Linked DNA regions of Solanum lycopersicum. The protein of the gene in region 1 interacts with the protein of each later gene in a pairwise test. Links are inferred from orthologs where the notes say so. Each region holds a gene or a part of one and is shown on either strand. Other genes may lie near its edges.

Region 1 (7,032 bases):
AGGAAAGGAAACAGAGGTATCAAATTGCAACAAGAATATTTTCCTTTTCACACATGGATATCGAGCTTAGTTTATAACACTTGTATATTGCCCTAAAGGCAGTCCTAATCAAAAGTAGCAGTAGATGAGCTGATGACTCATAACTTCATTTTGGTATGAAAAATCTGAAATATGCTACACTGGGAAAGAAATAGAAATCTTCCATTTTCACAGAAAGAACAAGAAAAATACGAAAAGGATAAGAGAAGGTCATCCCCCTAAATTATTGATTCAAGACACATGTCAACAAAAGCACAATCATTTCAAGGGGACACTAAAAAAAGACTTACCTGATACGATTTAAGGCTGCAATTGCCCGAAGGGCACTTCGAATCATGTCTTCATTGCGATCAACCTCTTGCTTGACAGCATCCTGTTTTGGTCTGAAATTTATTGTTTTCTGCAGAGGATCCACCAAAGAGTCCAGAACTGCAAAAGCAATGTATTGTAAACATAACAAACTGGTTCATTAGAAGGAGAAAAAGCAGCAAAAAGACTATACCTGCTAATACCGCTGAAGGACACTTATCAGCAAGTTTAGAAAGGATAAGGTGGCATGGCATTTTAACATCATAATGATCTGGGAGAAGAGGCAAAAGATTCAGTTCAGCAGTAAAATAATTGCATGTGAGCGCAGTGACATGTCCAATGATGCTACCACACGGCCACACCCATCCCCAAAAAAATAGAATTTGCAGACATCAATAAAATCAAATCAAGAATCAGAACACCACATTTGGAAAAATAGAGATAACAATAGAAGAATCGGGTCTATCACAAGCTATCAACTTACCATCCAAACCAGATTGAAGATATGGGACAATGAAAGATGAGGGATTCACTTGATCAAGACAAGTGTCTAGCAATGTGTCTACACATTCAAAAGCTGCCTTTCTCAGTTCTAGTCCATCATCGACTGTATGCTTGAAGGGACCTAGATCAACCGTTCTTATCAATTCTTTCTGCAAGAGGAAAGAAGCATAATCAATGATAGAGAATGCCACCAATCAACTGTTATTAGTGACACTCCTAAAGTACAAGGTTAGGAATAATTGATAGGTCCTGAATTATCTTTAATTATGAGACGCAATTAATCTAACTTTTAGACAACAATCACGCATATACTGTCCTAAATGATAGGATCCATGAGTAGGATCAGTACAGGTTCTCTTTGTTCTTATTTCCACGATAACTGTAAGATAATTGTCCACATATGAGGAGAGGGTTCTGAATTTGAAAGAATTAACCAACATGGGATGTCAAATGAGGCTGCTAAACAAAAGCAACAAACCTCTAATAAGGTGAATGCCAAGAATATATGACTATATGGGCACAAACATGTCCTAGTCCTAATTTACTTGAGACAGATGCCCATAAGATGATCATGTTCACAAATTGTACATATAAAGATTAGCAATAAGATCATAGGCAAAGTCTGGCCCATTCCAACTTAGGGTATGCATTTACTTAATTGCATCTTCGACTTCACAATTTATACCACCGTATATGGAATAATGTTATCGGCATGCTAGCTGATAACATCCAACAGTTGTCTTGGTCAATTAACTGGAGATTTGGAATATCATGGCATTATGCTCGTGGGGAGATGAAACAAGCCTATTATTTCATACCACCATCTAGCCAAACTTTAATCTACAGTTATCCATCTCTGACTCACACGATTAAAGCTTCAAATAAGTATAAATACAAAAATACAAAGAAAGATGATATGTTTAATCAATGAATTGTAGATAATACTTGCATGCAATTATTCTACTACTCGGGAATAAGAGTATTCAGCAGGATGTAGTGTAATCCTTGGGCCCATAGCTTTAAAACAGCAATCAAATACATATCTCAAAGAACCAAGAGTTGGAGTTTCGCCAGTGCATGTACACATAAATTGTGCCAATCTGGTACGAACATATGTAGACAAAAGGAAGGTGGTGTGCCCCAGTTTCAAGTGCCTTGAAATACAACCTAAACTAAAATGCACAAAAAACTGATTAAATTTTAAGGAGATATTTGTCACCTTAATTATAGTCTGATCATAGAGAAGTGGCAAGAGTTCAAGTAGAAGGCCCTTAATCAGGTTAGGCTTGTTATGAGCTGCAGTACTCAAGGCCAGGACAGCTGCACGCCTAACATGCTGCACAATAAACAAAGCATGTGATGAGAAGTTAAATTAGGGGAAGATATAATGAAAGACTGCAAGAGATGACTGTTAAAAGGAGAACTATAAAGAAACGAACAGCATAAAAGTAAACACGACATCACTGGACTGGGGGGCTTTGGGGTGACTGCATGTGATTTTTTTTGGGGGGGGGGGGGGGGGAGGAGGGGGGAGGAGGGGGGGGGACCAGTAAATTTTTACGGAAATGGAAAAAGTTCTTGACATCAAATTAGGAATACCCGGTCTTTATCCTTTATAAGCACTAAGAAGGATGAAATTTCACGAGACAAGATTTCATCTATCTTCTCGGGTCGCTCAACTATGGAATATTTCACAGCAATTACAACAGTCGCTCTGGTGAACGCTGCTGGATTACTAATCCGATCCTACACAAAAATTATAGTAATAAATAGTCAAATTTGCAGACAGAACATCAAGTGCAAAACGAAATCATTTACAGGAAAGAAATATATCATTAGTTGTACCTTCAATGCAGGAACAAGCTTGCCAGGTTCAATAAGTGCAATTTTTCCCAGGCACTCAGCTACAACATTCCTAACGCCCTCTTCATCACTTTCACAATGATTAAAGAGCAAATTAAGTATTTTATCTACACTTGAATCCTGGAATTCAGCATTATCCACAGACTGTCTCACTATGACCTGTTGGCAACCACATATCACGATGAGTCCAGAAAGCAATTAGCTTGGAGGGAAAAGAATTTCTGAAATAAGAGACCATCTAAAATGTAGATACCTCTTTCAAAGAATGGAGCAGTAGGTACTGCTTCTTCTGCTGATTGTCTATTTTGTCTAAGATAAAGGGTAAATACTTTGGTAGATTACCCACAGCAATGTTTCCTAGAGCATAAGAGGCAGCTGACTTTATCTCTTCAAAAGGTGATTGGAAGGACTCGATGACAATATTTTCGATATGGGCATGTGGACTTAAGTCCTTTCTCCTTCCAATTTCCCCTAAACATAGCAAGGCAAGATGTTGCTTGGCCTGAAAAGGATAACTGAACTCAGAAAAAACAGGGTTCTCTTACAGTTATTAGTACCATTTGAAGAAAGCAGAAGAAACAATGTCATATAAACTTATAATTCTCAATGGCAGAACCATTTTCTTATCCATGGTCTATTTTAAAAAAAAGTCTAAACTCAGGAAATTTGCTTTGTCATTTATTATGTGTGTCAGTAGTTTGCCACAACTGCTAACAAAATACAAAAGCTAATGAAAAACAGAAAATGTCATCATATCAAATTTCCTTGTACGCTTTCGAATACTCCTTCATAAACTAACTTTTAGCATTTAATGTTCATTTTCTTAACATGTCATGTTAGGAAAATGACATCAGTGTGCGGAGCACACTTGTTATCCACAGTTCAAATCTTCAGTCCTAGATGTGTGGGTAATTTCTTATTAGAGTGCCAATATGGTTGATGATATATATTGTTGTCTCCTTATGGGTGGCCTTGGACAATTTCACATCACAAGCTAGCTTTTGAATCAAGTTAAGGCCATGATCATTTCTTTCATTTTTGCATGGTATCAGAGCCATTCCACTCCAACTATAGGGGTTGTATGACCCTAAGCATATCCTCACAATTGGCAAACATGAGAGAGATGCTAGGTATATAAAGAAGTAAGCTTTGAAACTCTAATGATACACTTTTTAGCCTGCAAAGCTTAAACACAAAGTGGCAGTATCACTAGTGGCTAAGATTGTTACAATCGGTAGAACAATGGGTTATTACCTACTATCATGGTCTCGAGTAATCCTCACAATGAAAGAGTAACTTCAAGGGTTGAGTTAAACCCAAGGTGTATTTCCTTGAAATGGTAGCAAAGCAGGCAAAAGGTCTTGGATTCATGTCACACCGCCACCCACTATCCAAAAATTTGTAGCATGCTTGCCCCACGGAAAAGAATCAAGTGAGTGGGGGGGCATATTAGCATGTTGAAGGCATACAATTCAAGTAGACTACTCTAACGACTCAAGTCTTTAGATGAGATAGACATACAATTCAACAGCAACAAACAACTTATTCAAACAACTTATCCAAGATGCAACTAAATAAATAAAGGGCCTACCGAATTAGTACTACTATCATCTTTCAGGCTGTCTGTTAACATGTTTACAGTAGAAGAACACTTCCGATCACCAGCGGCAAGACAAAGAACTGCCACACATTGACCGATGGAAAAGAGAGCTTGTTTGGTAACACCACCAGACTGAGGAGATGGTTTCGCTGTTGAAAGTAGAGAATCTAGCAGAGTATCGAAGCTTGTATTGGCAGAGTAAACCAATGCAGCAAAAAAGTTTTGAAGGGCCTGCATATTAATAGAAGTGAGTTTCGCATAAGAAAACAGCCTAGATCAAAACTGAGACCAAGAGAAACAAGGAAGTACCAGAAGGGCTTGCCCCTGAAGCAGTGAACTTCTCACTAGTGTCAAGGCTTGAGGAAGAACTTTGCTTCTTACAGTCAAACCCACATTAGCACTTGACCTTCTGTCAGCCATTAATGTACAACAAAGCTCCAGCGCAAGGGCTGTCATGTGCAAGTCTGAGTCACTAAAGTCCAGATGAATCAAAAGTGAGAAGATATTAATGACACAATTTAAGATTGAAATATTGTAGGAACATATGACATGTGAAAATTAGTAAATCAAATGAATCAAAATACAAACCTAATTAGCGTAGAAAGTTCCATAACAATAACTTCATACGCAGCAGATCCAATTTTATCACCATAAGCAACAATGAGGGTGTTCAAGGTCCCTAGAGTAGCTTGTCTGAGAGCTCGATTGGCCTACCCTCCAAAAGTAGCAAACTTTTGAGACTTCCTCATAATATAAAATGCAATGAATTTTTTCCTAAGTTGTTAACATTTCAGAACATCTAGTTTCACCTTGCGTAAGAATGCAGTTAACTCAGAAATCACTTGCTCGATGACACATGAGAGGTCTAGGTGCAATGGAGAAGCAGCTATGACAGCAAAAGCCTGCAAAGAAGGTATGCACTCTGAGAAAATTTCAATCAAATCAATGCAACCAAAGCAGCATGTAATTTAAACCACTTGCCATGGGAAGAGCAAGAATATTGGCAGTACTGAAGGTCAGAAGTCCTGCCTAGGAAACGGTGAGAGTAGAGGGGAGGTAAAGTAATTCTATAATACTGTTACACAAGGGATAATTCTATTTTCTGGCCATACCAACTCATGAGCCAAAATCTGAAATGTTCATTTTCCCTTTTTTGGGTTCGAAGAATAAGTTAAAATTAACAAAGCATCACGAAGATGCAAAAGTTGACATCTTAAATTGATCATTTTCTTTGATCCCATAGTTCCTGATGTACAAGTAAAATTGTTGAATTGTTCAAGTACTTGTACCTTTTTCCAATTTATATTCATTTTTGTGATTAAGGTCTTGCCTGATGAGAAAATAGATGCCAAAAGCTAAACAACCTAGTCATAGATAGAGTTCAATCCCTAAGAAGTTAATGTCAAACAAACCTTGACAGCTGTCAATCTAGTTATTTCATTGCCCATTCGATCCACCAGAACTGGAAGACATGCAGGTAATTCAGCATGCAGGTGATCACCAAATGTTGAAACTACGAGCCCCATGCAAGTAATTGCAGACTCCTTAACCTCCTGGGAGTCGAGCACAGTTTAGATAAACATCAATTTACATACGAAAATATTCATTTCTCAAGCAAGCACAACTAACCTGATCCTGATCTTGGTTTGTCAAACGCACCATGATGGCATTATATATTGGAAGAACATAGGGTTTGAAATCAAAGGTTGAACCCTAAAAGGCAACATAATCAGTGCTTCAGATAGAACTAATACAAGTTGTTGATTGGCAAAGTAAAAGAAACCTAACCTCAATCTTTGGCCGCAACACCCGTACAAGCTCACCACAAACTCTTAATGCATCTGCAGTAACTTTGTAATACCGCTCACCAACAGCCAATATAACAGGACTAGTTATAGCCTAGTTAACAAAAACAGAGAGTATAGTCAAAGAATTGTTAGACAAATGATTTCTATTTTCTGACCATTTATTCGAAGGAAACGCAAAAAATTAATTCGAGAAAATTTTTCAAAATCACAGGGGGGAAACGACAGACTTCACAAATAAAAAGGAGGATATAGCATTATTAGATCATCTCAGCATTGACCAGTCAAGGAATGAAGCCATACAACTAGGCTGAATAAAGAAATTATGTTTTTTTTTAATTTACTATGTGAAAAGTAGGTCACCCATATATATTACAACCTTTGACAAAGTGCTATACAAGTACACACGAATCAATGTATAAAATCATATTTATGCAAGATTACAACCATTTCTCAACCTTTCTTTGTGTTTTTATGTGAGAAGTAGGACGCCCATAATTTTTAAGCTTTTCAAAACACGGTACCATGAGTTCACACCAGTCCAGGTATGCATTTGATCTGCTAAAATTGTATAAAGCAGATAAGCATCAAGATGGCTTACCTTAATATGTGGGTGGAAAACAGGTGGTGAATGTGATGCTAACACTAATCTTGTAAATATGAGGGCTTCAATCTTTAAATTCGATGTGGAAGATTTTTCCTGTTCAGCACACCAATGGCAACATTTAATATAATAAAAGAAGAAACAAAATCCAGGAAAATTCACAAAATAAAGCACAAATACAAGCATTAAAAAGACAACTTACACATAATGCCTTCTCAATTCCAGGAATAAGGGATCCAATGTGATCTGCTAGACAATCAGGCAGAACAACCACGAGTTCTTTCAAAACTGAGAAGGCGCCAACCTAA
Region 2 (7,619 bases), about 2.4 Mb from region 1:
AAAACAAACGTGAATTACCAATTTTCATAAGTGACAATCAAAACATTGTATTATACAATACATGAATACAATACAATAGGTAACAATCATCCGAAAGAGAACCATACATATCCAGGATCGCCCTCCAAACGGTCAGTAAGGTAAAGCCAGAAGATAAGAATTGTACTCAATTTTTTCTCAGTCCCTCTAGTGTGCCGTGTGGTGCCTGCTGATTTGTCGAAAAGATTACCCAATCGACGTACCTGCAGGACTTCCCCTATGCGGTTCAAGCCATTCAAGGTGACCCTACCCAACATTTATTCGCAAATCCTGTTGTGAAATTGAGACTGCTCAACCTTCGGAAGCTAATTCGTGTTTGCACGCATTCTCTATCATACCATTGACCTTTTAAGTTTGAGAGTAAATTGTCCAGTTTTGGATAAATTGAGTATATTATTCTTTTTTGGATAAATTGAACAAATTGTTCTTTTCTGGAATAATTGAGCAAATTGTCCGTCATATCATGATTTTCGTTTTAGTTCATCTAGGTTTGACTTACTGGTGCATTAAGTTTAAGGATATGCACCGAGTTCATTAATTTTTGGTGATATATACTTGATGTCAAAATATTAGAGTAATGCACTTTTTAAGTTATAAAATATGCAAGTTTCTTGTGACCGAATCCTGAAATTTCTCTGGAAAAAAAACCTTAGGCTTGTTAATACAGACAACTATTTTGGCTCTTCTCCTTAATATAGTAGTACTAGAACCCGCGTTGCACAGTCAATATAAAAAAAACAAAAACAATGTTTATTGTCTTGCTTGTCTTTGTAAAGTGTAAATATAGTTCATTTAACAAAATTGCAGCTGTCGTTTGCTTTTTTACGCAATAATATTATAAATTTAACTACTTTATGAAACTTGAAGAGTTTGTAATTTAAAATAGAAGAGGAACTCTTTTGATATGTCCTTTTTGTGGAGAATGATCTTTTCATAAGATCATGTGGAGTTTATCAAACACTTCCTTTCACTCACATGTGGTTTCTTGAACTTGGTCAAATCAATCTATATATAAAATCAGACATTTTGGTGTATCTGTTGCACTGAGATTGTATTGTATAGATTGCAGGCGAGTTCGTAAATGTACAAGATGTTTTGCGAAATGTCACTGGTCGGTTGCGTGATAACCTCTTGGCAGCAAAGGTGTCAAATGGTGGTGTCAGCAGAAACAGCTCTCCTTTGACATCTGAAAGTAGTCCCTCTGGCCAAATGAGGGAACCTCCTTTTGGATTTCATCGGTCTAGTGGTGTCTCGCATGGTAACAATCAACATCCTGAGTTAACGCGGTCTATTAATAACCTTGTACTTTCCAACAAGACAGATCACCCCCCATCACCGGGGCTGTGGTCATCACAGGTGATAAACCGCTGAGTGTTTAATTTTCCCTTTAATTTAATGTGCATTCACCGACTTACCTTTGAACATTTCCTCTGGGCTTGGCTATTAGACACGACCTGGAGTAAACCAAAGAGGTGCTTTTGATGTCAGCAAAGGATCTAATTCAGTTAAAGGTGGCATGGAACTTGGAAGGTTGGTGTCTTCCACTCTTCACAAGCGGCTAATGCTTTTTCACCTGTGACAGGATGTACTTACGAGGGTGGACTCCCTATAATATGATTTGTACGAAAAAATTCCCTGTCTAGATTTACCAAATGGTCATTATAGACTTGGAGAAAAGATATGTAAGATTATCTAGAAGCCTGAGTAGAAATTTCTTGGTTGTATTCATCAGCTTGTTGCATTTTTCTATTGCTTGCAGTGGAAGCAGATCTGCCATTGTGACCAATACTACTGTGAAGATCATGGTTCCTGAAAACATCATCGGCTGTGTGTATGGGGAGGACGGGAGCAACTTGACTCGTTTAAGACAGGTATGTTGTCCCTTTCCCTTTATTAATTAGTTTTGTGGAAGGTACATGGGATTTTTAAACTCATATTTCTTCGTACTTCCATTCATTTTTGTGCTGGTGATTGATCTTTCTGAGGAACTGAATCAGATTTCAGGAGCTAGGGTCATGGTACATGAGCCCCGTCCTGGAACAACTGACAGGATTATCGTGATCTCTGGGACCCCAGATGAAACCCAGGCAGCTCAGTCTCTTCTTCAGGCATTCATACTGACTGAATAACCGTGAACTTAACAAAGAGGATCCCAATTTTGTATACTGAACTAGTACAGTTAGAACTATGTCAACAGCCAAGTACACTTTTTATTTTGTATACTATGTTGTGATGAGTCTGATGTTTGTTTATTTTTAGATAGGGTATTAAACATTAGTTTTTTGGTCTTTAATATGTTAGGAAATAAGAAATTAACTTGGTATTTATCCAATTTGACTATGCCGTCAACATGAGCAGAAGTTTTTTCTTACATTTGAAAGGGGATTGATTAGTTGACATCTTTATTTGCTTGCATCTGATAATCTTATAACAACTAGAGAAACTTTTAACTACTTTTATTTTGCATAGTAATGTAGGCCTGAGATGAGTTTAGAGTGGAGAAACATGGTCATTATTGATTAATATAGTTTGTGTTTCCAATATTAAATTTTGATTTCATTTATTGAATAAATTAATACAGTTCGTCGTATGACATATGAAAAATGACAACAAGGATGACATTACAATTCCTTGATTTGGTTCAATTAAGAAGCCTGATCTATGCCCTAGGAAATAAACTATGGTAATACGGCTTGAGTGTTATCACGCGTTTAAGCTAGCTTTTGCTTTGATTTAATTATTTATTTTTTGATAAATATATATTTTTTCATATATAAATGATACATATATTGCAAATTTAATTTGACTTATCTTTTATTTTCAAGTCAAAATAAATGAAAGTAACGATACTATCTTTAAAAAAAATTAAATGATGTTCATCATTTGGAACAATGGTTTGTTTACATGGACGAAACTCTTGTTGTCGACCCCATTTTTGGGGCTTAAGGATTCGGGTTTGTTTGGATATGGCTAAAGCTTATGGAGCTAGATTTGTTGGATCATAGTAGCTGTGTGGGGGTAATAACGTCTTTTAGTATTTTTATTTTTTAGAAAATATAAATCAACGACGTCAAAAATGGCAGAAGCAAATCGCAGAGCTAACATGTACGGACGGGAGACGATGAACGCTGCACTTCACCAAGATAGACACCAGCAAACTCAGATCGACGACGACGATGATGACGACGTCGTCGCTGCTGTCGGTGGCGGTGGCAGTGGTGGGGGAGGAATAGAGTCTATGGACAACCCTACTCCTCACATTCGCTACGACCAACATCATCACTCTCATTCTCACGCGCTTCACAACGGCGGCGCCGGCGGTTCTATGGAGATGAATGGTGTGGAAGGTGTTTCTCATAACGCCTTGTATGGTCCTCCTTCCGAAATTGTTCCTACTGCTGGTAGTGGAGCTTCCGATCAGCTTACGCTGTCGTTTCAAGGCGAAGTGTACGTTTTTGATGCCGTTTCACCTGAAAAGGTATTTCTTTTACTTTGACCTCTCTTTTTGTGCTTACTAAAAATGTTTGCCCTCTAATTTGTGCATCTTGCTCGTTCTTGTGTAGTGTGTTCTTTTATAAGTTTAGCTGAAAAGGTGTTTCTTTTAATTAGCGAGATTGGTCTGCATTTAATTTTTTTGTGTTGCTTGGATTCTTGCTTTTTTTGTGTCTGTCTACAAGAGATTGAGTGACTTAGGGGGAAGGATTTTCAATTTTAGAGATGGGGATAATTCTGTATTTGGCCAAAAGTTCTTGCCTCACTCTCACTCGACTTTTGGAGTTGTTGAGGTATTTCAAGACTCCGAAACTGGTCGTTTCTGAGATTAGATTGTATTTGATTGGCGAATTGGTTAGTGTGTACGGTGAATTGTTTGATATTGATCAAATTATGAAGCAAAGAGGCCATGCTGATCTTTTTTATCTTCCACGAGTAAGAGTGATTCTCACTGGCACGATTTTAGTATCACTGTAATTAAAATCTATGCACCGATGCTGAGTGAGGGGTTATCGCTCATAGGTGAAGTCATGCACTTCATAGAAGTGTTAAAAATGATGCACAGAGTGATCCAAATAAGAAGTCGTTGATGCTCTGAATCTCAACTTAGAAGAGTAAGATTTATGGATACTGAAATTAGTTCGTTTTATTGCAATCTGATCGTTACAGTGCTAAATTCACATACTTAAGAATTTTTTTTGACGTTGAGAATTGTGTGTTTCACTTCAAATGTGTGTGCTGTTTACTTCTCACTTTTCGCTTCAAGCTCCATGGTCCTTATTGCTTTTTTTTGCTCTTTTAGAAAAACTGTTTAGTATATGTATCAGGTAGTGGAATTTGATTCACAATTAGTGGATTTAAAACTTCATTTTGATATTTACAATAATCTTAATAGGGGTAAATTCTGTTTTTATGTTTATTGAGTTTTAGGTTCAGGCGGTGCTGTTACTGTTGGGGGGATACGAAGTCCCTCCTGGTATCCCTGCTGTAAATGTGGTTCCCCAAAGTCAGAGGGTATTCATCTTTATCTTCCCCTTACATTTTTTTACCAGACTGGTGGTTTATAATCAGTTATGGCACTTCCGCGGCAATATTCACAGGCTTCAGGTGACTTTCCTGGAAGATTAAATCAACCGGAAAGAGCTGCTTCTTTAAATCGTTTTAGGGAAAAGAGGAAAGAACGGTGTTTTGATAAAAAGATCCGCTATACTGTGCGGAAGGAAGTTGCGATGAGGTAATAAAACTGTAGTTTTTAATGCATGATGTTGTTTTGTCTGCTTGTTTGAACCATATTCGGAACTAGGTGGAGATAATGTGCAAATTGATGTCTGTTGCGATAGATGTCCCATCTGTAATTGTCCATTCGCTGTGCTAATGATTGATAGGACTAATTCACCCTTCTAAATTAAGTTGACAATAAGAGTAGGAAAGACATTTGCAAATTGTTATACACGAGGGGCGTCTAGCTCTGCGGCAGATGCTTTATATCAGCTTTATGCATTGCTTGAACTATTTGACTGGAATGGTGTAGGAGGTGTTTTGAAGGCAAAAGGAGCATTTATCTTAAAGCAACATTATTTTCAACTGGCTGACCTGCTGGACTTGGCGAATGCTACGAGTCAACTCCAACTTTTTGTAATTTTCTACAGAATTACCTGAAAAAGTAAAAAAGAGTGGAGTATGTCATGACTGAAATATGGCAGGATCACCTGAGGTGCATCTTACTTTATCTTTAAAAAGCAGAGTGCCCCCGAGCTGCACACACTTATTTCATATCTAAGACATTGTTTGAATGTGAATATGTAATTTCTAAATGACCTGACTGCTAAAAAACAGTTGCCGTGAGACAAAATTCTCACTTCCTCTTTACCTTAGGTTTGTGTATAAGAAAAGGTCAACTACAGCATTTTAAGGAATGAGGTAGAACTAACTAAAGAATGCTATAGCGAGGACATTGTAGTGCACTAGGTTGACATTGGAAATATAATAGGATAATTAGTGGTGAAAACATTATCCTATAAGAGGGAAGGGAGGTGTAATAGTATTTAAAGGATGAGACATGACCTCCTACTGAGCGCCTTATATTCTATCAATGCAAATGTCCCATAGTTTTGTGGACTTCGGAGCATTGGTACAACTGGCGCTAAAGTAGTGCACTTCATTATATGAAAACTTGAAATTATTGTCCCCCAATCCTTGCTCTAGTGATAAGAACACAGTCTGTGATGTGGGGGTTAGGCGCACTCCACAAATTTAACCCTACCACAAACAAAAGTGTGGTATTTAAATGGAGAATGGTAAATGCGCAGGCCTCTTTCCACCGAGTTTCAAGCTGTTCGCCTTGGTCTTGGGGATTTCTCAATTATCAAATAGCCCATTGGCATAATATATTAAAACTGAAAAAGCACATAAATACTACTACTAAAAATGGTCTGAGTTACAAAACTGTGGATAAATGACAATAATTAAAGCAAGTACGAGAAGATGTAAGAGCACTCCCATTTCCAATTTAGTGTAGCTGAATTATTATTTTATTCATTTATTAGAAGCCTTTTTTAAAAAAAAAGAAGGGGAAAATGGCCCATTAACTTTTGATGGACAATTTGGTTATTCAACTTTAGAGTTGAGGTCTTTCCACATTTAGTATAAAATATAATAATGATTTTTGCATAATATCGAAGACCACATTATGCAATAGAGCACCAAGACTTGTTTTAGTTCCATTACTTTATTGACTACTGACTATGCCATACCCTCGGGTGCAAGAACGGATATTTTACTAGCTCCTCTCATGTGGCCATGCATCAATCTTCAACTGCGGAATATTTTAATTATAGGCAACTGCTTCCAACCCATGCAAGTGAAACGACTTTTGCTAAAGGATGTCTATAGTGACATCTGACCATGCAATTTGTGCAGGTATCCTTAGATGTTATGCTAGTTCTTTCTCTAGTCAATATGATTTAATTTTATTTTCTCTTACTTCATTCTTCTAGAGGGAGGGGTTATGGGTCCCTGTTAGGTTTTTGAAGTTATTAATTTCAGTCCTTGTCTATATTTTCATCAGTCTTGTAGTTGAAGTTCATGGTTTAGACTAGGTCCTTTTATTTGTTCTTTTCAGTTGTCTCATCTGATCTATGTTATATTTTCAGGATGCAGCGCAAGAAAGGTCAGTTTACATCTGCCAAGTCAATACCTGACGAAGTAGGTTCTTCTGCAGATTGGAATGAAGGCTCTGGTCAAGAAGAGCAGGAAACATCGTGAGTTCCATTTTCTGTAGTAGTTGATTTTCCTTTTTTCAAGTTATAATATGTTTACCACCCCCAAAAATTCCCCTTGACTAGAACAATTAAAAAATTCCCCTTAGGAGCCAACAGTGGCATTTCACACTTTTGTCCCTTAGTCACTCGAACGCCCTGACTTCACGGTTGGAGGTGTAGGACACTAGGCTATACCTCCCTTCTCTGTAGTTGTTCTGTCTTCCGTCATTGAATTTGATGTAAATCTGTGGTCATTTTACAGCAGATTCAATTTTACATGGTCTCGAGGTTCAGAGGTTACCGATCACTTTAAATACAATTGACATCTTTCTGAGAAGTTTCTCTTTCCATTTCTCAACAGATGTAGACATTGCAATATTAGTTCGAAATCCACTCCTATGATGCGTCGGGGACCAGCTGGCCCAAGGTCTCTTTGTAATGCATGTGGACTCAAGTGGGCCAATAAGGTTAGTATTGAGTTGAAAATTTTACTCATTTCCATGGTTTTTATTTGAATAGGCATAAATGCCTCGTGATGATTTGCTCCATGATCAATATTACTTATTATTAGTTCCCACCCATTCACATTTTCATTGTTTGAGAACGAGATGTATAAGTAGAGAATTCTAGGGAAAGATATGGTTCGGACGTTCGGTGCAAATAGCATGCATTGATGACTAGGATATCATGTGTGCTCCAATAGTTGAAGAAAAAATATTCTGCTCAAGTATATATACTTTTATCTCCTTCAAATGATTTTTCGCTCTCATTATTGTCCACATTCGCTGATCCATTTTTTAAGCTTCCCCTCAAAACTTCCACTCTATA

What was found. The genes of interacting proteins can lie anywhere in the genome.
Region 2: the proteins of CAND1 (region 1) and GATA transcription factor 24 interact in binary tests that used the Arabidopsis thaliana proteins (3 or more experiments, as listed by UniProt). The link is inferred for Solanum lycopersicum from reciprocal best matches to the Arabidopsis thaliana genes CAND1 and ZML1.

The regions. Positions count from the first base shown.
Region 1 is NC_090800.1:87,680,225-87,687,256, reverse strand, and holds part of CAND1 (cullin-associated NEDD8-dissociated protein 1), read right to left. Parts: intron 7,029-7,032; coding exon 6,927-7,028; intron 6,821-6,926; coding exon 6,722-6,820; intron 6,215-6,721; coding exon 6,104-6,214; intron 6,029-6,103; coding exon 5,945-6,028; intron 5,869-5,944; coding exon 5,728-5,868; intron 5,218-5,727; coding exon 5,125-5,217; intron 5,026-5,124; coding exon 4,904-5,025; intron 4,788-4,903; coding exon 4,625-4,787; intron 4,547-4,624; coding exon 4,307-4,546; intron 3,218-4,306; coding exon 2,969-3,217; intron 2,875-2,968; coding exon 2,698-2,874; intron 2,599-2,697; coding exon 2,452-2,598; intron 2,189-2,451; coding exon 2,072-2,188; intron 1,002-2,071; coding exon 833-1,001; intron 620-832; coding exon 542-619; intron 469-541; coding exon 330-468; intron 1-329. UniProt on the Arabidopsis thaliana protein: Key assembly factor of SCF (SKP1-CUL1-F-box protein) E3 ubiquitin ligase complexes that promotes the exchange of the substrate-recognition F-box subunit in SCF complexes, thereby playing a key role in the cellular repertoire of SCF complexes.
Region 2 is NC_090800.1:90,034,507-90,042,125, forward strand, and holds the start of GATA transcription factor 24, read left to right. Parts: upstream 1-2,924; 5' UTR 2,925-3,115; coding exon 3,116-3,517; intron 3,518-4,461; coding exon 4,462-4,545; intron 4,546-4,631; coding exon 4,632-4,765; intron 4,766-6,683; coding exon 6,684-6,791; intron 6,792-7,152; coding exon 7,153-7,258; intron 7,259-7,619. Other genes in the region: KH domain-containing protein HEN4, read left to right, coding at 1,102-1,395, 1,487-1,569, 1,799-1,910, 2,037-2,168. UniProt on the Arabidopsis thaliana protein: Transcriptional activator that specifically binds 5'-GATA-3' or 5'-GAT-3' motifs within gene promoters.